2 linked regions of the Bombyx mori genome follow. The protein of the gene in region 1 binds, or shares a complex with, the protein of each later gene. Links are inferred from orthologs where the notes say so. Each region holds a gene or a part of one and is shown on either strand. Other genes may lie near its edges.

What was found. Proteins that work in one complex are often made in the same cells at the same time.
Region 2: Rrp40 (region 1) and exosome complex component RRP46 share a complex: the UniProt entries of both Homo sapiens proteins name them as parts of the RNA exosome core complex. The link is inferred for Bombyx mori from reciprocal best matches to the Homo sapiens genes EXOSC3 and EXOSC5.

The regions. Positions count from the first base shown.
Region 1 is NC_085114.1:14,716,100-14,718,917, forward strand, and holds Rrp40 (exosome complex exonuclease Rrp40), read left to right. Parts: upstream 1-1,373; 5' UTR 1,374-1,452; coding exon 1,453-2,163; 3' UTR 2,164-2,186; downstream 2,187-2,818. Other genes in the region: probable RNA 3'-terminal phosphate cyclase-like protein, read right to left, coding at 1-119, 582-873. UniProt on the Homo sapiens protein: Non-catalytic component of the RNA exosome complex which has 3'->5' exoribonuclease activity and participates in a multitude of cellular RNA processing and degradation events.
Region 2 is NC_085131.1:1,264,042-1,268,391, reverse strand, and holds the start of exosome complex component RRP46, read right to left. Parts: upstream 3,029-4,350; 5' UTR 2,991-3,028; intron 2,985-2,990; exon of another isoform or gene 2,911-2,984; 5' UTR 2,834-2,910; coding exon 2,731-2,833; intron 2,508-2,730; coding exon 2,381-2,507; intron 1,762-2,380; coding exon 1,653-1,761; intron 1-1,652. UniProt on the Homo sapiens protein: Non-catalytic component of the RNA exosome complex which has 3'->5' exoribonuclease activity and participates in a multitude of cellular RNA processing and degradation events.

The sequences.
Region 1 (2,818 bases):
TGCCGTCTTTATTTTGTCCACTGATACATCTAGGTCACTGTGGGTTACTCCTTGTAGGACTGCATTTAAAGGTTCCTTACAGAATGGTCCCAGGGCTAGTAGAACTTCAAGATAATAACCTAAAAAGGTTATTTTTTAATTTCAATTTGTCAGTCCGAGGATGAACATAACAGGAAGTATTTAAATGCTGAGTTAATGTTCAGACCATGGTATGGTTTGATTTAGTTTAGATAGTTACATCAGTCAAGCTGATGTCACTAAAACTACTTTCAAAAACAACCAAGGCGTCCTCACTCTGTCAAAACTTATTTTAGTATTTAAACTGGACTCTCCTAGACGGTTGCATGCCTGACAAAAGATTTATTATCCCATCCTATAGTATATATTAACAATATTTATTATGTCCATGCCTTGCTCCACTGAACTAGACTCTCCATGCTTTTAGCTATCAGGAGAATGTGTATGCTGAATTGTCTGAATTTCCAGCTGTAATCAAACTAATATATAATCTTCTAATTTAGAAAACTACATTCCTAATAACGTATTTGACGTGAGTAGAAACTTTATTGAAGACCACTTACCTATCCCTCTCTGGGTACAACAGTTGTGATTAACTTGTCCACCAATCAGTATACCAGGCTGGTAATATACTGAAGTACCGGTTTCGCTCAGCTCGACTCTAGTACCGTTCGTCACTTTATCCAGTAGCCGAATTAAACTGACTTCATATTCCCGAAGACCCGGGTCATCGTTGGTACTGCGAATGTCTTCTATTTTAATAGCACGCCCACTGAGAGTCGAAAGTAGCAATCTTTGACGAAAGTAATTGCTGCCCTTGTATTTTATTACGTCATTTTCAATTACTGCGGGCATTTTAATATAACTAATACTCCGAATTAGTTTTTCGGTGATATGTAAACAGCGAACATGTGCAAACCTCTAGGCACTGCGAGTTAGTCAACTGTCAAAAGTGTCAAAGTAATAGCAATAGTTGTATTTTTTCATCTAGAAAGGCAAAAGTATCAGACCATATACTATCTTTTAAATATTGTGGTATATTTCTATAGAAAATGATGTGGATGAATGAAATGAAGTGAAGTTAGTTTATTTGACTATGATTACGCAGCTTTCCTAGACATATTATGGTATTCTGTGATGGAACCTAAAGTCAGCATTATTTCAATGGATATCAGAATTACATACATGGGTACTGGTTTCGGCTCAACACATTTAATGTTATCATTACTTAATTTTATTTCCTTCGCCTAAATTTCATTTTTCATACAACAATTAAATGCATAAGATTTAACTGGTAGGTACCTATGCGCTATGTTTTCTTTGCCTATTGGATGGACCAATCAAATCAAATAAACATTGCTGTTTTAGAGGTTAGGGCTTTGTATTTATTTGTGTGTTCATTTATAATTCTCACTAAAATAGAACAAAAATATCATGAACGTTTCAATAGATGATGTAGTTTTACCTGGAGATCACTGTCCAGAGATCGTGGCGGCTGGCGAAAAAGGAAAAGTTCTACTAGGTCCTGGACTTCGCAAAGAAATTAACGGTGTTTTTATAACAAAACCAGGCGTATTACGGAAACGAACACCAAATACATACTGGGTGGACAATTATCAGAAGCGCTATGTGCCTTCTAGAGGTGAAAATGTGATCGGTACCGTGGTACAGAAAGCGGGCGATATTTTCCGTGTGGACGTCGGGGGGAGTTGTGCCGCATCGCTGTCATATCTGTCGTTCGAAGGAGCGACGAAGAAAAACCGTCCCGCAATCAAAACAGGCGATGTTGTGTACGCGAAAATGTTAAACGCAAGCAAAGATATGGAACCAGAGCTTGTGTGCGTTGATTCGCATGGAAAAAAAGGCCGACTAGGAGTATTAGAAGAAGGATTCGTATTCAAATGCTCTTTGAATTTAATCAGAAAAATATTAAACCCACATTGTCCATTATTGAACTCATTAAAGAACGAATGGCCATTTGAATTAGCAGCTGGCATGAATGGAAGGATTTGGATCAAAGCAAACACTATGAGAGAGACATTGGCTCTAGGAAACGCGATTTTGGGCTCAGAATATTTGAGTAACGATGAAATTAAAAGTATGTGTAAGAACATAGCAGTTTTACTCGCAGGTCATGTAAGCTAAAATAAATGAAAAACCTTATTAAAGAAATTTGTTTTCTTTTTAAGAAACTTAAATCATTTAGAAAATCTTCAATTAAGAAAATTTAAAGGTTTCATGTTCTGGGTCCCAGAAAAACCATTTGAAAGGAAAACATTTATAAAGTTATAATATCATACAGAATTTTCACATGTTCAATTTCTAGTGGTGAAAGGAAGTCAGCTCTCAGATTGAACATAAATGAGAGAACCCCCTAGGGAATCCATTTACGGATACCCAGTCGAATTGAGAAAAAAATTCAATGAGAGAACCTGACTAATGTTCAATTGACATTTTGCATATATGTAGACTACAAGCAGATCCCGTAAAGGAAACAAAACTAAAACAGTGATGGAAATTTTATTTTGGCAAATGCTAATCTAATTTTGAAATCTCAATACATAATGAAAACTGCTATGGACATGTATTCAGGACATGTAGCATTCCAATACTTATGACATAAATACATTTCATATTAAATTTGAACAAAGCCACAATATATACATAATACCAAAGTCTTCGTACAGGTTTTTATTTTTTTTGCTGTTTATTTTAAAAGATTTTACACTTCAGAACTCTTTAAAAATGTAGTCACAGAATCAAACAATATTTACATTATCATCGGAACACTTTAATTATA
Region 2 (4,350 bases), on another chromosome or scaffold:
GTACAGGGTGGCCCATAAGTCCTTTGAAAAGTAAAATTTGAATAAAACGAACAGGGCGCGCGTGAGCGGTGCAGGGGAAGCGGGGGGAGTAACTTCGGTTTCTGGGAATTTAGTCGCGATGGAGCGTTTTACCGGAGCGGACCGTGCGTTTTATGTGCGCGAGTTTTATAAAAACGACAATTCGGCAACCGTTGCGCGGCGTAAATTTCGAGAACACAAAGGTTTACACAACTTTGACGACACTCCAACTCTTCAAACGATTAAGAACTGGGTTGCTAAGTTCGAGGAGACCGGTTCGACGTTAGATAAACCGCGGTTGGGTCGCCCAAGGACGTCACGTACGGAACAAAACATAGACACAGTGACACAGTCTATTCGCGAAAATCCGACACAGTCAACTCGTAAGCGCGCCAGAGCATTAAACGTATCCAGGACATCGTTACAACGGATTTTGAAGAAAGATTTACATGCCAGGACGTGGTTTCAACAGGATGGGGCCACTTCTCACACCTCTAACACTGCTATGCCCGTTATCCGTCAACTTTTTCCTGGCAAAGTTATCTCTAAGAGAGGAGACATTTCCTGGCCTCCACGTAGTCGAGATCTGACCCCGATGGATTTTTTTTTGTGGGGCTACCTTAAGGCTAAAGTATACGACACAAACCCGCGGTCGATTGAGGCCCTAAAAGAAAACATCCGCAGAGAAATGACAAGCATTTCAGCAGTGACGTGCCGCGCAGTCATCGACAATTTTAGACGTCGTTTGCAAGAGTGCCGTGTTCGCAACGGATTACATTTAGGAGATGTTATTTTCAAAAAATAATTCCCGTTTTTTAAGCTTTTTATGTAAATAAAAATTTAATTCATAATGTAATTAGTTTTATTTTAATAATTTTTTTTTCATATCAAAGGACTTATGGGCCACCCTGTATTATTCGTGAACTATTCCACGCGGACGAAGTCGCGGGCAAAAGCTAGTACATATATAAATGAATTGCTGTTCGTTAGTCTCGCTAAAGCTCGATAACGGCTGGACCGATTTGGCTAATTTTGGTCTTGAATGATTCGTGGAAGTCCAGAGAAGGTTTGAAAGGTAAATAAATATGAAAATGCTCGGAACTAAATAAAAATAACAATTTTGTTTTTCCTTTGTTGTGTCCCGCGTCGGACGGATTCCTTTTGTTTGTTTTAAGTTTATTTTATACAAAAGTTTAGGTCTTTTATTTATCGATTGAGGCACTACGAAGTCTGCCGGGTCAGCTAGTTAATAATAAATTCACAATTTAATAATACATTGACATTTAATAATAAAAATAATTTGGCCACTATTAAATATGTAGCATATTGAAATCTGGTAACCACTTTACATCGGTTGAGCTCATCAAATGATCTGTGAAATTAACAGAAAACATTATCTATATCAATTAAAACAATTTTCGTTTTTTTTTTTCATTATTTTTGTTTACAAGCCTGAAGCATGTGTAGAAAGCTTGAGAGTGAAGAACTACCCCCACTTAAAAGCAATAGGCAGATCATAACTGCTCCATGCTAGAAGCAGATAGATCATTAATCACCAGTACTTCCAATACCACCAATCTTCATTTTTAGGAACAATTCCAATTCACCCTCGTTAAATACAAATCAGTACTCACACCACCATAATCTTCTAGTTCCTGTATAGTAACATTTATACCAGTTCTAGGATACAGAGAACCAAGTATTGCTGCTTCACATGTCTGTTTCACTATATTCTCTTTGTATCTGTAATAACATGTAATATGATTACAATTCAACAATCGACTGTAACACCTATTTCTTGAAAATATTCCACAATTTAACATCACTTACAGATGTTTCTTTGAGAAACCTTTCATGAAGCATCAACAGAGACTGGTGGAAGACTTATGGGGATCAACCTCAATCACTTTGTTAATGTCTACCCTAACAGAGTCGCAGTGCTTTGCTGAATCTACCATGTCAGAAAAGTGACTCACTTAGAAGATCAAGCAAGAATATCAATAAGTTGTGTATCTGCCATATTGAACTCTGTTGTATCTAGTAATGTTTAAACAATACATTCATTAATGACAACCAAATTTATGTTTTTTGTAGACATATGACCCTCCTAATGGTAAGTGGTTACATTCGCTCACGCCAACGTCAATGTTAGGGGCAAAGCCAAGCAGCTACATGCCATTATGTACTCTCAAAGAAGCCTCGTTTGAAGAAGGACATGTCATAACGCTTGGGAAACACCACAGAGGGTAGTTCATTCCAAAACCGAACGGTGGATTTCATCTATTATTATACAAATGACCACTGACAAGCAAATATTGTTATTAAATTAATTTCCAATAGCCATATAGCTCTAATACATTACCTGTTTTCCACGCTCGGTTTCCCATTCTTATTACTGAACAAAACCTCAAGAGTTGACTTATCTATTCGTTGACTGGTCATCTTTATATCTAAAGGTCCATTTACGCTCACCAATGATACAGTATCCCCTGTAAAAATATTTACAAGCTTTGATGAACGATTTTCTGTCCAAGAAGTTTTAATTAACATTGTTGTACTTTTTAAGACGATGAACTTTGAATGTTCGTAAAATCTTACTGTTCTACTTATTTTTTGTAAAAATACTAAATTATTATTTAACATGTTGTACCTAAATTAAGAGTTTCGGTAAAATGACCACAGCTAGATTATAGGGCATAAAACTGTTTTTACCTTGTGATAAAATAGCTGATCCATCAGATTTGCTCAGGAAGTTGAATTCACATTTCATAGGTTTTAATTTAAAATCCTGTACATCCTTCATATCAGTCACCATATTTAATTCGTTCAAATGTTTAAATATATCTTGAAGTAGTACAATGAAACTTGATTGCTAATTGGGTTTCTGATTTTCTAAAATTCAAAGATGATCTTTATTTATTTTAATAACAAGAAAAATATAGAAAACACATAGACCTATATAGTATATATACCTATATAGGTTTCCTACTTCATTGAGAAAACATGTGAGAATGACATTGACAGTAGTATTCGTTTGTTTTTTACAACCAGAAGGGCAAAGCTATTGAAACATACAGCCTAATCTTTTGTAAATTCTATTTTATGAAGACGATATGAAAATGAAATGAAATTAGGTTGATTAATTTCAAACATTAATTAATTGGAATTAAATTAAAACTAAGACTTATTAAGACTATTTCAGTGGACTGTTTGGAAGATCCCGAGGATCAACGTCCGGTGACTTTGTTTTATTTACCTAAATTTATGCACTTTCCCAGATACTAAACAGTTCATAAACATCCATTAGTACATGTTTAAACATGAAGAAACATTAAATTAACAAAATAAAACTATTCTCACAACTTTGCTACTCGCGTTCCCGCCAAAAAGTCCAAAATAGGAGTACATAATTATCTATTTAGGTACATTGTCCTTAGTCTGAGTTTTTTAAAGTTGAGTTGACACAACGCCCTTATCGGCAAGAGTAGGTTCCAACTCATCATAATCTTTCATCTTTAAAAACTGAATCATTATCCCAATTTAGTACTTTTTTCAGTGTGCTCAATATTTTAAGTTTTTTGAAAAAAAATCTCTATCTTCGAGATCTATATATTAATACGTGAAGCAAAAACTGTGTATCCCTTTTTACGAAAATTGCGCGGAAGGAGGAGTATGAAGTTTTCCACACTTATAGAGAATATAGAGAAGAAGTGCACAATGCTAATCTTTTTTAAAATAATGCATAAAAGATACATTAAATCAATAAAGAAAACATTACACACACTACATACCATGTATTTGACGCACACACGCATGCATATTATTTATTGTTAAACTTTTGTTCTTTTTGTTGTCAAATTGAGAATAGATTAAATATTGTTTGTCTTTGTTAATATTTTTTAAAGTGTAGTCTTGGCGAAATTTGTAAAGAAGTATAAAATACAATCATAATAGTGTACTAGTTTAAATAAATGACTCAACTTAACAAGAACAAACACAGGAGAAGTAGCGTTCTGCAGAAAAGCTTTACTAGCACTCTACGAGTTATTAACTTCCACCAGGAAGCCTGATTTTATTGAAGGGAGCTATGTTATGTGTTTACTGGAACAGTCATTACGAAAATCTTGTATTAGCTATTCAAACTCGCCCGATATTTCTTCCCGAGAAGGGTATTTTCATTTTTTTCTTACAACAAGGACTTAGCAGTAGTACAGATCTAAAGTACAAAGAAGAAACCGTTAAACATACTTGTAAATTACCACCAAAAAAGTTACGTTTATTTAATAGGCTTCATAATATATTCTAAAATTTGTGCACAATATTGTAGTTATT